Linked DNA regions of Arabidopsis thaliana. The protein of the gene in region 3 interacts with the protein of the main gene of each other region in a pairwise test. Each region holds a gene or a part of one and is shown on either strand. Other genes may lie near its edges. The genes, in order: CRR28, OTP82, VAR3 and NCED4.

Region 1 (4,169 bases), on a different chromosome or scaffold from region 3:
TTTAGACAAGAGGTGATTTTTTTTTTTTTGTTATCATTTTTTGTGCTGATGATTCGTTGACTTGATGTTTTGTGTGTGGTAGTCAACGGATTCACTGGCGGTTGGATCGCCGCCGAAATCGGAAGGGAGAGTGATATACTACCATGTGGCGGATGATGATGATGATGTTGAAGATGACTCTGTTGAGGTAAGTTCGTTTACTTTCAAAGGAAATGGTGTTGAAGAGCTGACTATGAGATTGAAAGAAGAGAGCAATGTCGAAGACGTTATCGTTTGTACTCGTAGTCCGTTGAACGGGAAGCTTTTCCCATTGCGTCTTCAACTTCCACCTAACAATGCTGACATGACTGTTGTCTTAGTGCCAAAATCATCAAAAAGTGAGTCTCTTTTGGTCCTAATTTCAAGTCAAGTCGTTGCATTGTCACTGATGTTCTCTGTTTTCTTGGATTTAACAGTAGCAGAAAAGTTCATCAAGTGAGATCTTTCTTTTGAAGCTGAGCTGTGAAGTGAAGGCTTTGGCTGCAATTGGTTTGTTGCTACTAAGAAAGGATTTGGATTGACTTAGAGATACTGCTTGATTACCAAACTTATGATTTAGAGATACCATTCTTTCCCTTTTGTCCAACTCTAATGCTCAATCTCTTTCAATTACTGCGACTAGTTTTTTTTTTGCTACCAGTAGTCTAAACAAGAGCAGGATCCATCTTTGAAGTGATGGAAACGAACACGATCTCTCACGATGATCTCAGTGTTGAAGACTTTTGAGATCAGTTTAGTAACCTCGTGGCAATCGTTGCAGACACGTAGATTCTTGAATATACGGATTGGAGTCTGAGGTGGTAAGTTTATCAGACCAAAAGCAATGGCAAGTCTTTCACTGTGCAGCCTAAGGGAATACTCTTTGCTACCATCATTGGTGGCATCCACTAAAGGTGCTTGAGAGCGATCCGGTAAATAACCAATTGATCTTAGCCTGTCGTCGATCACCTTCAACTGTTGGTATATCTGTTTGGTCTGAGGATGCGACGTGTCTCCTGCGAAAAACTCGTGGGAGATGCCATTTATCTCAATAGAACTGCATCCAGGCTCTTTTCTAATTCCATGTTCACTCATTAGTTTTCTAACGATTCCAACATCGTTCCAGCGGCTAGCTGATGCATAAACTCTAGACAACAGTACATATGCACCACTGCAGTTACCATTGGAGCTTTCGTTATCTTCCTTTGTTCCAATAATATTTCTAGCAATTTCTTCACTTAGCTCCACACTAGCACCCTTTTTGCAACAAGCATCAAGGAGACTTCTCCATATCACTGCATCTGGTTTCATTGGCATGCTCATTACCATGTCAATAGCTTCAGTAATGTAGCCTGCACGAGCAATAAGGTCGACGATGCAACCGTAATGCTCCAACGCAGGTTCGATGCAATAATCTCTGACCATCATGTCAAAATACTGGCGCCCTTTGTTTACAAAGCCTCGGTGGTTGCAGGCGATGAGCAAGCCAACAAACGTGACTGAGTTCGGTCTAACATTCTCTCTTTTATCCACCATACGGTCGAAGAAATTCATGGCTTCCTCAGCTCTTCCATGTGTAGCAAACCCTAGAATCATTGCATTCCATGAAGCTAAGTCACGTTTTTGCATCCCCTGAAACACTTGCTCAGCCATTCTCAACGACCCGCATTTGCAATACATTTCGATCAACGAGTTCTTAACCAAAACATCCATAGCAACATCGACATCACATTTTCGCAGCAGAAACGCATGTGCCCAAGTACCTAGTGACAAAGATCCAAGACCAGCACACGCACTCAAAACACTCTGCATCGTATAACCATCTGGTTCAAACGATCTCTGCATCTCTCTAAACAGTTGTAACGCAGAATCATACTCCCCAAACCGAACCAGAGCATCGATCATCGAATTCCACGAAACAAGACTTCTCTCAGGCATTTCATCAAACACTTTCCGTGCTAAATCCAAACACCCACAAGACCCATACAAATGAATCAAACCATTATTAACATACACATCTCCACCAAACCCATGTTTCACAATCTGACAATGAACTTGCTTCCCTTCGGAGAACCCGAATATATAAGCGCAAGCTTTCAATACAAACGGAAACGTATGCTTATCCGGTGAAGATTCACCTCTCTCTAACATTTTCCGGTAAAGCATAAAGGCTTCTTCTTTCCTTGAAACATCATGAGCACATGCTCTTATAAGAGTGTTCCACATGAAAGAGCTATGGTTTTCGATGGAGTCGAAAACCCGGAACGCGTAATTGACGTCGGAGAAGGAGGAAGAGAGCTGGAGGATTTTGCCGTAGAGAAACAGAGTTGCGGGTTCCTCAGGGTAAGTAGTACGGAGAGTGAAGGCGTGAAGTTGCTTGAGCTGAGACATGTCTGAACATGTTTCTGCTAAGGAGAAAATACGTTGGTGATGGTTACCGGCGGTGGAGGCTGAGGGAGAACTTGCCGGTGGGATATGAGGAGATAATGGGTGGACCAGAAGACCGATAGACATTGGATGGTAATAAGTTATAGTTGTTGGAGGTGAAACGATAATTGAACGAACAACCATACTTTAAGTTTGGAATTCGTGAAAAAACCAATGTTTTTAAACCGAACCGGATGGCAAACCGGATGGCAAGCAAGACTACTCATCGAGTCATTGGATTAACCGAGAGTCAATTAATATTTTTAAAAAATATATTTAGAATGATTATCTAATTTAATTAATTTACTAGATTTTAATTTACGGTAAACCGCAAAACTATATTTAAAATAAAATAAATTATAATATAATTCGTTTAATTGATCAATAGATTTTACAACCTATTGTTTTATATATTTAAAATGTACAATTTTTATTTATATTACAATTTTATAGTAATTATTTTGTAATATATATAGAAAGAAAACGTAGAACGGTAGCATGAACCCTATCCAACTGGTAACAGCTTGACTGGCCAAGGCTTACATTGGAGGATTTCTGTCGCAACCACCAAAAACCACTCAAGACACTCCAAGCTTTGCTATTTAGTATCGAATATGTATTCTGAATATCCTACAAATAGAATATACATAATTGGTCTCCAAGCTGTTACATAGATCCATAAAAATGTTACATTACTTGGTCTCCAAGCTTTGTATCCTCCATATACATTGTCAAAAAACAATTCTTAATCTCTTTGATCATGATACACTTTATTATCTTAAAGTTGTATGGACATTTTTCGATCCATTCATATGAGAACATTATGATATAATTCATACACGAAAATGTTTACAACATTACAAAAAAATAAAAATTATTTTAGTAGTATGGTAGAAAACTATAAATTAATGACTGATAAATCATATCTTTTGGTACATTTACGCAGAAATACTATTTTCCATCGCAAAATTTAATCAATATTAAAAGAAAAATCCTAAAACTTATATATAATTTTTTTTTTCTGTTTTGGTCAACCATACTATTATTTCTATAGGATACAAATACATAAATAAGCAAGACATAAGATAACACCATATCATTATTTGGGACTTTATGTTTTTGGACAAACCATTATTTGGGACTAATTAAAACACATTAAAACCCCCTTTTTCGGTTTACAAATCTTATCTATCTTCTTTTGTATTTTAACCTCATCAAGTCCTTCTCCCTTCACGGTTAGCAAGTCGCTTTGTATATTATATGTTACAGAACTAACTCCTAACAAAAAGGAAAAATACATTTATATAGATTTTTAAATATTATAGTGTTATTGAAATGTTTTCTATGTAAACTATATATTTAGTAGCAACTATATATATAAAAAAATGGTTTATTTTGGCTCCACAAAACTATTCGATTGTGTTTGTGTACCTTTACGGCTATTGATATAGTCTAACGTTTTTTCCCTAGCTCTTTCATCAGTAGATCCAAACTTGAATGTATATTCTTCCTATCAAACAAAAGAGAAATTGTATTAAAATCCTAGGGAATTCATTGTATAAGAAATCCAAGGTGCTAAATATGTAAAACTACATGTATAATTTTCCTTTTTAACGGCTTTTAAAAAAATTAACGAACCATTTATTGAAACAAAGTTCAGAAATTTCAGTAGAGATGATCAAAGCAATGTGACTGCGAGTTTTCAACTTAGTGGCCTGCTTATA
Region 2 (4,739 bases), on a different chromosome or scaffold from region 3:
TGTGGGACTCACCAGTTAAATGGAGGAGTGTATTGGATCATTAATTTAGAGTGATTTGAGTTTTTATGAGTTTTGATATTTTTTTGGTGAATTTTGTTGAATTAGGAAATTTGTTATTAAAATTCTCTCAAATCTCATCTAAAACTATGGGATTTGGATCTTATATTTTTAACTAAGAAATTTCCAGAAATAACAATGGATTTGATCGTACATTTTAAAATTACTAATCCAATAAGGCAATAACACTTGATTCCAGAATAATTCCACTTCAAAATTTCCAAAACAATTATGATTAATTATTTGTATTATAATTTTTTATAAAATTTTATTTATATAAAATGAACGCTTCACATTCGATAAGAACACATTTAATCATTATAGTTAACTATTATACATACTTTGTAAAAATTATTTTGAATCTGTGATAAATGTAAAAACTTTAATTGATTTTGATTAACTATGCTTCTTGGAAGCTAAAGTTTCATAATTTTAAATGTAAAAATTAGATGATTACTCAATTCTTTGCATGAACTATACATGTATAGAAAAATTATACGTCAGCATTTGTTATTTGAAAAGTGAAAAGTCTTTCTTTACATGTATACCCTTACATCAATGAATCAGTTACACCTTATATGCAATTTACTTGCTTGACTAATCTTCTTGTAATTTACAGCTACCACACAAAGAAAGTCATATTACAGTTCTTGACCAACATCATTGGTAACAAGATCCTCTGAAATGATGGCTACCAGTAGTCATTGCAGGAACAAACACCATCTCTAAAATGATGAAACCGAGTTCTGTCTCTAGCAATAATCTCCCTTTTGTAAATCTTTGATATAAGCTTTGTAGCCTCATGACAATTTCTGCATACCCTTAGATTCTTCACGATTGTAAGTTTAGTCCCAGGCTTTGTACTGATCAGCCCAAATGCAATAGCTAGCTTCTCGCTGTGATGCCGCAATGCTCCTTCCTTCCATTCTTCTTCCATCTCCTGCAAGACTTCAGAAGTATCTGGAACAAACCCGGCTTTCTCTAGTAACACCTCCATTTCTTCTAACATTCCGTAGATTTCTCTGTTCCGTGGATGGAATTTATCCCCGATGATGAACTCATGGACCACAGAATCTATTTCGATAGAGCTGCAACCAGGAACTTTCTTCATACCTTTATCATTGAGGAGAGCTCGTGTTTTTGCTACTTCGTTCCATCTTCCTGCTGAGGCATAAATGTTAGACAGAAGTACATAAGAACCTGGGTTTTCTGGCTCAATCTTAATGAGGTTTTCTGCAAATGATTCGCCCAACTCGACATTCCCATGCATCTTGCAAGCTTTGAGAAGGGAGCACCAAATCACTCCATCGGGCTCCATTTCCATCATGTTTATCATTTCTTCCGCTTCTTTGAATAGACCCGAATGACCCAAAAGATCAATCATGCAACCGTAGTGCTCTAATTTTGGGGTCATTTTGTAGTCCTGTGTCATTGTTCTGAAAATATGGCGTCCAAGATCTAGCATACCTGAATGGCTACAAGCAGACAACAAACCAACAAACGTGATATCATCTGGTTGAATCCCAATCTTTCTCATTCTTGAGAAAAGATCAAATGATGCATCAGCTCTCCCGTGCATTGCAAACCCAAATATCATTGCGTTCCAAGACGACAAGCTTTTATGGAGTATACTGTTGAACACTTGGTGTGCTGCCTCTATGTCTCCACATTTAGCATACATGTCAATCAGGCTTGTACGGAGAGAAGAAGCATTCGTAACACCCTTTAATCTCTTGTCGATATACACATGAATCCATCTTCCAATATCTATGGCTCCAAGGTGTGCACAAGCAGGAAGAATACTTAGCATTGTCACATCGTTTGGAGTTTCACCTGATCTAAGCATTTCTTGAAACAACAACAATGCTTCTTTGTAAAGATTCATATGTGTGTAACCACCGATCAAGGTATTCCAAGAAATTACATCCTTGTACGGCAATCTTTCGAACAAACCACACGCTGTCTCCAATTCACCACATTTCGAGTATAAATCAATGAGAGCATTAACAATCTTGAGATTTGAACCAAACCCATGATCATCAATCCATAAATGTACCTGACGACCCAATTCAATACTACCAGACTGAGCACAAGCAGAAACTACAGTGACCATTGTACTCTCGTCTGGCCTAACATTCGTCTTCATCATATCTTTAAACAATTCTAACGCTTCCTTATAGTTACCGGTTTCAGCATATCCTGAAATCATTGCATTCCATGATACTACGTCTTTAACGGGAATTTCATCGAACAACTTCTGTGCATTTTCGATATAGCCTCTCGATGCATAACCCTTGATCAAAGCTGTGTATGAAACCACATCTCGGTGAGGACTTTTATCGAACACCTTATGTGCATCTTCCAATCTCCCGTTTTGGACATACATAGAGATCAGAGAAGTATGTACATACAAATCTAGATCACATCCAAGTTTCAAAACATGCCCATGGATCTGTTGCCCTTCCTTAAAAGCTTTCGACTTTGCACAAGATTTCAATACAAACGGAAACGTGTAGGAATTAGGAAGAAGCCCAAGTGAAATCATACAAACATACAGCTTCAGAGCAGAAACAGGGTCCGAACTCAACGCGTGCCCACGAAACATCGTGTTCCAAATCAACAGGTTTGGCTCCTGAATAGTTTTGAAAACAGATATCGCATAAGGAAGGCCTTCAAAGTGTGGAGAGAGAATGCAGAACTCAATAAGCTTACTGAGAGCGTAATTGGTGTTGTGGAGACCGATTTTGATCATCTGAGCGTGGATAATGCGGAGAGATTGAAGAGTTTTGCAATTGTGGAGAAGAGAAAGAGAAGGGTGATTTCGTATAGAATCGTAAGGGGGATCAGAAGACGAAGGAAGGAAATGGAATGGGTAAGAAGAAGAAGGAACGGTGAGAGGAGAACACGAGAGCATCATCTTCTTCTTCTTACTTATCGTTGCTTCCAACGGAAATTTTCACTACCGCCACATTTAAAGTCCCAAATAGCACACGGACTTTGTTTGGGCCTGTGATTTTTTTGTTTGCAACTATATGGGCCTGTGATTAACTTTTCACTTACGATGTTTGATTATATATTTTTTTGGTAGGATCGATGTTTGATTATGTTGTTTTGCAAAATTTAAACGTAAACGGCAGAAATACTAAACGAGACCAAAATAATTAATAAGTTTTTAATAATATCCTTGTTGTGTTTACCATTATTTTCGTGGACGATAAATAAATAAAATCAACAAAACAGTCTAACGTAGAGTAACTAGAGAAACCTTTATTTTAGGGTATAATCATGATGTTTATGTGAATAATTAAGATTAGTAAAAGCTTTCAGTATCTTCATATATTAAACTATTGGTCTGTATAAGTGCACTATGCGCTTGTTGGTTGGTTGAACCGGCCTCGCATTCGAATTAGCATCCTAATAAATATCATTCAAAACACTAGTTAAAATAATGAAAAAAGAATGAATAAATTGGATGGAAAAAAGCATCATCATGGGATGAATATTCCATTGACCATAAGGAATCTCACTTACATCGTGCACTGCCACGCGGAGGAGCTTCACTTGTTTTCTTGTCACGGTCCTAACCTGAAATTTTATTAAAGGAATTAAACATTGCTATTAATTAGGTAATTAAGACCAAAATGAAGTGAAAATAGATAAATAAATACCTTTCTAACGACGCTCCAAGTAACGTTTTGAGTGCAAGGAGGAGTGGTAAGTGAACCAGTGTATCTGTAATATTTTCTGCTTCCGATCTTAATTTTGGTGGGATCAATCATTCCTACATTTTTCTCAGCCTCCTCCATTTCAGCAATGCCCTCTAATTCTTTCTCCAACTAAAACCAACCCAAATTTTCAAAAACAAATAAATCAACAATTACTGTTGGTTCCAATATTACATATCGATGCAGTTAATAATAGATATTAAGTTTTTTATATGTGTACCGATCTGATAAAAGTATCTGCTCTTCCGATCTTGTACAACACAGTCACAACAGCCATTCTTCTATTCCTGCCTTCGTGAACCATATGCAGCTCAAGTGCAAACCTGGTTTGTTTGCAAGTTCTAATACTTTTAGTTTTGTGAACCGATCAAGATAGTTTTGATGTAGTTAGTAATTATTATCTTAATGAAATAGTTACCTTCTTCCATTAATAGTATGTTCAGACGGAGAGTGCCAGTGAAGCTGTTGAAGTTCATATTCAAAACCATTGATCTTAATAGTTCCTGCTCCATCTTCAAATTTTAACTGCAACAGGATTAATCAACACATGATTATTGGTTTATTAAGGGTTACGGTTTTTAATTAGTAGAAACTAGAAGCACATAGGTGGCTCTATAATAATGGCTTCTGTGTAAGAATAAAAAGTTACCTAGTTTTATATATAAACACAACAAAATCAAACGAAAAAAGTGTGTGCTAGCTTAAACAGAAGATGAGTCCATGCATGTTTATATATATTATTATACCATGATGTCATGGCCTCTGTTCTTAAGAGTTGCATTTGAAGGATTATAGTCTCTATTAAGCCTTCCAAGATGAGAAACAATGTTAACTCTCTCGTTCATAAGATCTATGGGAGATTGCATCTCTCCTTTTCCACACATTTCCCATTCCGGTTTAAGTTCTCCCCATCTCTCTGGCCCCTTCTCATCGTTCTTCTTGTAGTTAAACTCGCGT
Region 3 (5,532 bases):
AGGCTTTCCCAGGCCCAAAATAGGGGAGCCTGATTTACCCGCAGATATCATAAACGACGTCGTTCTAAATCTTGCCTCTCGTTCTAAATCTTGCCTCTAACGACGTGTTTTCGGTTTTGCTTATAACTCTCCTTTTGGAGCTTGCTGATATATCTTCAATCTTTAATATTTTGCATTACTTTCTCAATTCTTTACTGCCTCACCAAGTAACGATCTCTTTTCATTCACAACATGTTTCATCACTTTGTGTTACGTTTATATTCACAACATTCTGTCTGTATATATATTTGTGTTGTTTCTTTTAATCAAGGCGAGACCAAAGCTTATTCACATTATGGAACTTCAAATTCAACAGCGAAAGCAAGCTGTGAAGGACATTAAGATGTTTGTGTGCATTAACTTTATTATATTAATGGTATCAGTATCATCCATCCAAGATTCTTCAAAAGCTTGTTGTGGTAACGTTTGATGTATTATAGCAATGTTGATTTTGTTGTGTGCAGGAGGAGAGAAGAAACACAGCGACTTCTAAAGGATGCCGTCGGTAAAGATGGAGAATAAAGTTTCTACACATTGTGTATATAGAAGTTGAATTAAAGAAATACAAAAATCGTATGGTAATATTACTCCGAAAAAATGTTATGCTACATGGTCATTTATCTCCTTTACCAGTGGGATCAGAGTTGGTGATATGAGGATTTCTCTGGTGTCGTTGAGAAGTTAAACGCCGTTCCAAGGGAGTTTTCCTCTTGCTGACAACAAACCTATTCACTCCTTTCCTCATCGGCATTATCGACGGGAAATCTTCGTCTGGGATCTCACTCAGCTCTGATATGTTCTTAATCTCAGCCACTCTCTTAAACCATCTCTCTGCTTTTGCTTCCTCTGACATGTCCAACAAGTCTGACTCCTTCACTAACGAACCCTCCAAGCTCTTTCCATTTCTGATCTTCACTGCCACTGTATCAGATTTGTTGATTGAAGGTTCTCTTGGTTCTTGTTGTACTACCTGAGAAACGTTTTCTGTCGCCGGAGCTGGAAGAGTATCTATTGATTCCTTGGGTTGTTTCTCTTTGGCGAAGTAGTCAGGTGGGAAAGGGACAAAGGGGACAAAGTCTGAATCTTCTGGCCTCTTGTATGCTGGAGAAGTCAGTGAACGGTCTTTCTTCCTACTCACTACAAACCGATTCTCTCCTTTTCGCATAGGCATTTTCTCAGGAGAAATCTCTTGCGGTATTGCGCTTTCCAAGTCTGAAACATTGTGCAGTTCGGTGACCCGTTTGAACCACCTCGCAGGTTCCTCTGATTTGTGATCTTCCTTTTCAAGGCGATCTGTTTCTTTGCCAGAGTGATTTGCATCTGACTTGTCCTCTTGATAGACATTTTGATTGCCGCCTGAGAAACCATCCACTTGGATGTTGTCAATCAGACCTATCTGTGTTTCCTCCTTAGGTTTCTTGGCAAACATATCCGAAGGTAATGGCACGAAAGGAACAAAATCGGTGTTTATTCCCTGAGAAGATTCAAACCTTCTGGAAGATACATTCTTGTCATCAGAACGAGAAGTCAAAGAGGATGAAGAACCAAGAATCTCATTCAAGCTCCTAGTTGTTTTACTTCCCAAAGCATTATCGTCGCTCCTTTTCGAGTTTCCATCTGTAGCTACTCTGTTCTCAGTATTAGCCAACCTTCTCTCAAGAGGTGGCTTCCTCGTGCTAACAACATATCTATTCACTCCTTTCCTCAAAGGCATAATCTCTGGGAAATCTTCATCTGTATCAACACTGTTCGCATCAGAACCACCCTGTGCTACTTTACTAAGCCACCTCTGTGCTTTCTTTTCGTTTTCGACCAGTCTTCTCTCAAGTTCAGGGTCACTTGAATAATCAGAGTTGGCTGAATTGAGTGAAGAGTCCCTGGGTCGCTTGCAGTCACATCTTAAGCAAGCTACATTCCTCCCGTAATTATAGAAATCACATCTGATAAGTGAAACAACCAAGAAAGAAAGGAAAGGTTAACCTCATCATTCCTCATCGCATTAGTCATAAAGTAGCAGAGAGAAAAAATCAGTTTCTTACTGAGGACACTCCCATTCACTACCAGTAAGCTGTCTCTTTGGTCTTGCTTCATCACACTGGAAGCATTTGACATTTCTCGCAAAGTTCATGCCACTGCACCTGTTTCAACAAATTCCCACATCATATATATAGATTCCCTAAACGACAAGATGATGAAACAAAGACAATTACACCATACTGACTTCTTAGCTCTAAAAATAAGATCTTTCGACCACAATACTAGTGTAATAGTCAGAAGTATACTTGTTCAAGCTCAGATCCAGAAGATTTTTTTTTATGGTATCCTTATATCTAGGCCTACTTATATCTTTCCATAGAAGAATGGTAACCAAAAGGCCATAGGAGATTTACACCAAAAAGCTACTGAGAATCCAACAAATTCATACCTCGAGCAAATCCAGTCACCACGTTTCATCTCAACGTTATTCTGAAAAGACCTGACTCCTTGTCCATCTCTATCTGAGTACTGATTTTGCATCGTGTCATGAACATTCGACTCAGGAGGACGCAAGCTCATCTTCGCTATCTGACTCAAGAGGCTTCGAACCGATGACTCCATAATCTCTTTGTTATGTTGTTTGCTCTCCTCAGAAGAAGCAACATCCACAACATAACTCAAAATAAGCCTCATCAAATCAACTGTACTCGCCTTCTCCATATCCATCAACTAATGTAAAACACAAAAGATCATAACTTTGAGGCACAAATCACCATTGAACCAAGTTTAGACATAACCTAGCATTCACCAATAAAAGACTAAGCATTTGCCAGAAGATAGAACTTACCTTACCAATGCCCTGAAGACCACTTCTTAGGTAAAGGCTCATCCTTTTAAGTGAATCTGGACCTGTCTTGAATAAAAATGGCTTTCCATTCTCCACCAGCACTTCAACGTCTCTCCTCGAAAGCATTCTAATAAACACTAACATCATCAGATATTCAGATTGAGAATCAATCCAAAAAGAGAAAGAGAAAAAATTGCAGATTACTTACTCAAGCAGTTCTGGTCGTTCACGAGCTAGAGCTAAGCAAGCAAGAGCTGGACGGAGAAGTTCATCAGGAAAACCGGGAAAGAATTCACTTTCTAAACCAGAAATCGAACCGGAATCTGAGAAGTAACCAGCTTTGGAGAGAGATTGGAGTAGCTCTGTCCATTCAGGTAGCTGCTGGTTGTGATAAGAAGGAACAAAATCTGCGGCGGAGACACGGACTTGGTGATTGTAGAATCGTCCTATAGGAAACGTGGGGATAAGCGGCGGCAATGACACGAGTGGACGGAAAGAACATAGATTGGTTGAGGCAACGGACGAAGGAGGAAACGCACGGCGGTGGAAACGGCGGAGATTGGCTATGCGGCTGATGTAGAGACCACGGAGTAGAAAGAGAGGAGGAGGATGAGGAGAGAAGAGGGAGATGAGTCTGGTGGAGTTGTTCATCGTTGCTCGTCGTCACTGGTTTTATTTTTACCGGCGAGAATTATTTCAGTGATGTTTAAGGAAAAAAAAAGGATTAATAAATCGCAAAATAATTGCAAAATGAAGAAAAAAATAAGCCCATATTGGCTAACATAGGCCCATAATTCTGTGTGCTACTACTTGGGCTTGCCATTATGAATGTTTGGTAACTTTGGTAAATAATGTATTTCATTCAAATGGGATGTCTCTTAAAGAAAAAGTAAATGGTTTCGTACTAATAATGGAATTAACCCAAGTAACGAACTGATAGTAATCTAATCTAAGAGATGTTTTAAAGATAAGCGTAAGTTTTATGTTGAAATCTTCAGTTTATACAATATAAAAAGGAGTTTGCAGATTCGGTATTTATCAAATTGCACGTCGATTTGACATCAATTTTCGTGACTTGAAAAGTTGAAGTGTACATTGTACAATGTCATACGCATGCATACATTTCTTTTGACTTAAAGCCGCTATAACTTTAAAAGATTTATAGTCATACATTTCTCCGTTATTGAATTTTCACTTACTTAACAAACCTCGATTATAGTTATACTTCTACATATGTTCGTAATAAGTGATGTTTACTTGTTTAGAGATTTCAATTCACATACGTTATTTAATTTCTAACTTTTGTTTTTCTTAAATTAATAAGTTTATATGTTACAACTTACAACTTTCGAAAATAATAGATGATATAGACTATTTTTACATATACTATAGAAAAAAGCTATGTCAAGGATCTAAAATAGTTATATTTATTATGTATTAGTACTTCTTGGTTTCAGAACTTATACAATTACAATATATAATAAAACCTAAGAAATAAAAATTAACTAAAAAATAATACGTTATGAATATAGTTTTATATAAACGAAAGAAACGAAAATTAAAACATCAGTGGAACTAAAAAGGAGAGAATAATATTTGTGTTCTCTTGAACGTGGGAGTCACTGTGAGTTAAAGTTGGGTGTGGATTAGTTGCCGATCACTGCCGTCAACTTTTGACTAATGTTTATTCTGATTAACACTTTTACATACACTAAGCTATTTATAATGTAATAACTAATTTCTTTGTTTAGATCTATGTGGAGTAAAATATTGGTGAGTACGTAGACAATTAACTGCCTTGATAATGACTTCAATCTAAGTCCGTAAGGTATAACCTCATTAATTCCCCTAGAAATGTATTTTATCATAATTAATTACTATTTATACTTTGATGTGACATGTTTAGTTCTATGCCACAAGTGCAATGGACGGGCTAACAACTTTGACATGATTTGTAATTAAAATTCAATTTTAATAAAGAGACTTTATGTCATTACATCATGAGATAAAGCCCTAAATTCCTCAAATTAGTTAAAGTGTCTTCTTTAAAACTAATCAAGAAGTTTTAAAGAAACTTTTTCTATGTTAATGTAATTAGTGTGACTTATCTCATGAATCATGATTATCCGAACATTATTTTAGCGCTTGGAGTTTCGAAGTTACCTTTTCTCGCCACCTTTTGTTTTCTGGGTCTATTGAAAGATTGTCTCAAATTTTAAAAGGATAAGAAAAACACAATTCCATTAACTTTAATCGTACAAGTGAGAGTGTTAGAAATTGTGGTTAAACAATGATCAATAACCACTAACCATTTCGTAAAATTCACCGACGACTTTATCAAATGACGAACATGATCCGATGGATCCACGAACTACCGAAAGAGAAGTAACCTCAGAACTATGTAGAAAAAGCAATCCTATTATTCATTCGAACTAATTCAATATGCAGCTAGTTTTTTGGTCTAACGACTTCTTATCGTACCATTTTTCATCTCTTATCATTTTTACCATATTCAACCATACCACCATTTTTATCACTATTTTGTACAGTTACAAAGCTCTTACCGTCTTGCGCTATTAATCGGACCATTAAACAACTTCACATAAAATTTTATATTAGACGTTTGAATTTAAGTCGAAGTTTTGATAATCTTAAATGTAACCCCTAAA
Region 4 (4,369 bases), on a different chromosome or scaffold from region 3:
CAAAACGAAAGGATAAATCTACATCTATGTCAGTGTCACTCTCGTTCGTTTATTGCTTTGGCCACTCGTTTGCTTTGATTCCACTACACCCAATTCACAATAATTTCAAGGTTTTCTTAATACTACTAAAATTAAAAGATTTAAATTTGTTTTAAGAGGTTACATTTCTAAAGGTCGTTGTATATGCTATAAATGACGTTGGGCCATATCCATATCCATACCTCATGTTTTGCTCAAAACAATGATGTCTCGTTGGTCCCATCACTAAAACACAATCTTTTTCATGTTCCTATTTATTTATCTAAACCACAAATCTTTTTCTGTGCATTAATTTTCTTTATCCGTTAACTGATCATTCATATTTCGACTGATAGTTGTCTCATGATCTTATTAACAATGTATTCAGTTTTTATGCTTAAGAAACAATATTGGCATGACACATTGCCCACATTGTCATATTCGAGTATTAAAACTCAGCATTCTCATATTTTTATCTACATCTTCCACTAATATGAAATAGAGAAATAGAGTTGTGTTAAGATCTGATAACTCTCGGAATGAATGAATATTTATAAGATTTATTGCCAATAACAGAAGCTGCATATTTAAAAGAAAAAAATAATATTCATAAGCTTTGGTATGTTTTATATACATCGACCACCACCAAACTATGTGTACTTTAGTTTAATGTATAAAGTGCAAGTGTGCAACAACACTATGCGATTTGTTGTACGGGACGTAATTAAGACTTAATTATTCTATTAACTATTGCAGTTACCTATATTGTTAAAGCTTATTAAGGTCACTTTCCTTGACAAATAACCCATGGAATCCGTACGGAACCCTTCGCGGCAACCTCACGGCGGCGACGATTTCAAGCTCCGGCGATTTAGCGTCCATCACCAGAAACTTCGATTCTCCAGTCACTTCATCGTGAACATACGTCACCACATAACCATCATCCTCCTCCGCCTCCGGATTACCAGGATCCCTAGCTACGAAAAACGGTTCTCCGCCGTAACAACCTGAACCGTACATTCTACGGGCCACCGTACAATCATCCCGATCTCCTTTAGACACATCAAGCTTCACCACACCGGAGATCTTCGGCATCGGATCTCCAATCGCCGCGTAAACGTACCTGCTACATCTCCCGAGAAACGCCGGATTAATCACAGCGAAATCGAGATTCCTCGCTGAGATCGGATGACGTCTCACAATCCCGGTGACGAGATCGATCTTCACCTTCTCCACCAAAGCATGAACCAGATCCATCCTCTCTAAAGTATGTTCAATCGACATAATATTCGGTGCAATCAAAACGACGCTGTTTCCATCATCTTCATCCCAAGCATTAATAGCGTGAATGATATTGAATCCAGGAACTTCGAACCATTTCATCTCCGACTCATCTCCGGCGTACTTAGGAATCACTCCAAGCCTTGGAGTTTTTCCGTTATCAGTACCAACCGGAGAACCACCTTCGAGAACCAAATCCAACATGTTCATCCTCATGCCAAGCTGAATCTCTGCGAAAATCGCGTGACGTTTCGTGATCGCGAAGTCATGGAGAAACGACGGAGACGTCATCGAGAATATCGGAACGTCTCTTTGTTTTTTCCCGGCGGAATCAAACCGGAAATATGTTAAAAACGGTGGAACCGGACCGTACCGGAAAGCGAAAGTTTCTCCGGTTATTGGATCGGTTTTAGGATGAGCTGTCATACTCATCGCTAATTTCCCGTCGAAATCGTACCGTCCGATCGTTTCAATATCTCCTGATTCGGTTAATCGGACGGCGTAGGGTAAATCAGATTCACCTAAAGCAAAGAGACGGTTACTGAAGAAAGCTAGACTTGTATTAGCTAAACCAATGCCGTTAACCGGATTATACTGTCCGGTTAAAACCCTAGCTGCCGTTAAAGCTCCACGAGCTACTGACGCCGTTACACCGTTGAATCCGGAAAACACGTTAGGCATAACCGGAGCTCCGGTTTGTTTCTCGACGTTGTATTTATAAGTCTTGACGTATCTGCTACAGAGAGTGGCTTTACCGTTGTGGATTTTTATGGCGTGAAGCATACCGTCGCCGTCGAAGAGATGGTAAGGACCACGAGGGAGAAACTGTGGATTTGGACCGTTACGGATGTAAGCGCCGTTAAGTGACAGTGGAAGAGTGCCGTGGATGATTTCACAGTCTGTTGGAGGAAGCTCGTCGAGGACAGGAGCGAAGTTATCAGAGAGGACATGTTTTGGATCAACGGAAGGACGTGAAGGTGGATCGATGAACGTGTTGATTACATCTTCGACGGTGGTGAAGAGAGCTGTTGCGAGAGTCATTTCTGGTCGGAGTTTCGGTGGTGATGAGACTAAGGTGTGATTGGTTCGGTTGTGGAGTGTTTTGGGTTTGTTACGACGATCATTGTTGTCGCTTGGGTTTGTGATTGGAGAACGTTCTTCGACGACGGCGGAGTTGATACGGAGGAGAGTAGGAGAGGAAGATCGGCGGCGAAGAAGAGAGTGATGAAGAGAGAATGTGGAGGAGAGGAAGGAAGAAGAAGAAACAGAGTCCATTGCTCTCCTTTTGTTTTTACTTTCTTTGGCTCCACGTTTAAGGCTGTGAAGGAAGATGAGTGTGTTGTGTGGGGCTATTTATTAAATTTTCAAAATCAAAAATCATTTAATTGTTTCTTTGTGAAACTTAGATTTTTATTCTTTGATGTGAAGCTACTAAAATCCTTTGGTTCGTAGTTTATGTGAAGTTCTAATCTACAAATATTGGTTTGTCTATATTGTTATTTTCACATACGATAATATTATTTTCCTAAATATCAGACGAATTATCTTGTATTTTATGTGCTGCAAAACTATTCATCAACTTTGACAAAAATGTTTCATCGAAATATTTTGAATTTGTATATTATCTCGTTTGTGAACAATTTCTCCGACCTGGTTTCTTTGAGCCACTACAGTATTATAAAGTTGTTGAAAAGGAAAAAAACTATGATAATCATAAAAGTATTTTATTAAATTTGATAGTTTTTTTTGGGTCAAATTGTTAGTCAATATATTTTAAAATTTTGTTAAATGTTATGTTTCTTACATTTCTTCTTTGGTAAAAACATATTTGACTCCTTTTCAAGACCGTGTACGGGGCATTCTAGCTACTAATGATTTAGCGATAACAACAAAAATGTTTATAAAAAAAACAAAAAAAAACAACAACGTGAAATGGGAATCTTGGTCTGTAGTTGTTGATATAAAAGTAAACTCGATTAGGTATACGAGTCTACGAGTGACATTGGTCGAAATTTCAGCACCCACAAATGTGGAAACTATAACATGTTGGATAGAAAGAATAAAGTTTATTACACCAACAATCGTGATTGTGAGAAGGATACAAAACTACTGATACCAAACTGTAATGTCGCATTATACTAAAGGAGGAATAAAACATGTAGTCGTTATTTTCGGTCACTTGGGTCGGGGAAATTTTTGTTTTTTGTATATATATATATATATATATGACTACTATTCTTGACTACAAATTTAATTTTTAAAAACTTAAGTTTGATTGATAACCTTTACAAGTCAAGGGAATGGATCATGGATGGTTCAGAGTTCAAAGTGCAAAATCATCAAAAATATGAAAGATAGAATGACATGTAATGGTACAAGTGTTGCATATTTGATAATTGATATTGCCACTCTTTGGGGTTATGCATGCACAATTCACATGTTTATGTGTTGTTCCTACGTTGTAGTTTTCTAGATAATATCGAACTCTTTACTACTTCTATTTTTCAAGCTAAACTAATACAAACTTATCTATTGAAATTAAGTTTATATGATTTAAGTCGATTGATTAAACTGTAACTGTAATTTTTTCTTCTTTCTTTATCTTAAAGTCCCAGCCAATCCTCTAAGCAAAATTTAGCAAAAAAATCAAAAAACAAATCCTCTAAGCTTTTTTTTTTTTTTTGGTAGGGACCAATCTTCTTTAGCTTTTAAACAGACAGGACCAAAGTTAAAAGAGTAGAATTGAGCAAGATTATCGTGTTTGGATAATTGAATGCGATCGGGGCTTACTTTTTCGGTTTGAACCAAAGTAAAACTGAAAAATCATTTCTAAAAATCCAAATCTCATTCGGTTACTTGGTTCTTAGCAAGTACACTTGTCAGTTGTCACTAAACCATGATCGAATCGGCTCGTCTTATATAAGCTTAAGCTGTTGAGGCCCAAATAGATAAAACCTTGAAATATGGATTCACGGGAAACTCAAAATTTAGCTGGAGGCCCAAATCCATTAGATCTGATTAGAAAACAACAGTAGTAGTCTAGTAGAGTTACAACAAACAACAAAAGCTC

What was found.
Region 1: the proteins of VAR3 (region 3) and CRR28 interact in a two-hybrid assay, tested with the Arabidopsis thaliana proteins (one study listed by BioGRID).
Region 2: the proteins of VAR3 (region 3) and OTP82 interact in a two-hybrid assay, tested with the Arabidopsis thaliana proteins (one study listed by BioGRID).
Region 4: the proteins of VAR3 (region 3) and NCED4 interact in a two-hybrid assay, tested with the Arabidopsis thaliana proteins (one study listed by BioGRID).

What each region holds. Positions count from the first base shown.
Region 1 is NC_003070.9:21,939,196-21,943,364, forward strand, and holds CRR28 (Tetratricopeptide repeat (TPR)-like superfamily protein), read right to left. Parts: upstream 2,590-4,169; coding exon 673-2,589; 3' UTR 557-672; downstream 1-556. Other genes in the region: AT1G59710 (actin cross-linking protein (DUF569)), read left to right, coding at 1-12, 83-478. UniProt on the Arabidopsis thaliana protein: Involved in multiple sites RNA editing events in chloroplasts. Involved in the editing of the site 2 of ndhB (ndhB-2) and site 3 of ndhD (ndhD-3) transcripts, which are two plastid-encoded subunits of the chloroplast NAD(P)H dehydrogenase (NDH) complex.
Region 2 is NC_003070.9:2,513,626-2,518,364, forward strand, and holds OTP82 (Tetratricopeptide repeat (TPR)-like superfamily protein), read right to left. Parts: upstream 2,996-4,739; 5' UTR 2,975-2,995; coding exon 749-2,974; 3' UTR 525-748; downstream 1-524. Other genes in the region: ACA7 (alpha carbonic anhydrase 7), read right to left, coding at 3,397-3,471, 3,589-3,642, 3,726-3,893, 4,003-4,105, 4,201-4,307, 4,529-4,739. UniProt on the Arabidopsis thaliana protein: Involved in multiple sites RNA editing events in chloroplasts. Involved in the editing of the site 9 of ndhB (ndhB-9) and site 1 of ndhG (ndhG-1) transcripts, which are two plastid-encoded subunits of the chloroplast NAD(P)H dehydrogenase (NDH) complex.
Region 3 is NC_003076.8:5,869,158-5,874,689, forward strand, and holds VAR3 (zinc finger (Ran-binding) family protein), read right to left. Parts: upstream 3,626-5,532; 5' UTR 3,515-3,625; coding exon 3,072-3,514; intron 2,991-3,071; coding exon 2,864-2,990; intron 2,746-2,863; coding exon 2,465-2,745; intron 2,178-2,464; coding exon 2,079-2,177; intron 1,980-2,078; coding exon 653-1,979; 3' UTR 539-652; downstream 1-538. UniProt on the Arabidopsis thaliana protein: Probable component of some protein complex required for chloroplast and palisade cell development. Involved in C-to-U editing of chloroplastic RNA. Controls a large number of chloroplastic editing sites.
Region 4 is NC_003075.7:10,480,040-10,484,408, reverse strand, and holds NCED4 (nine-cis-epoxycarotenoid dioxygenase 4), read right to left. Parts: upstream 2,791-4,369; 5' UTR 2,575-2,790; coding exon 787-2,574; 3' UTR 530-786; downstream 1-529. UniProt on the Arabidopsis thaliana protein: May be involved in carotenoid cleavage.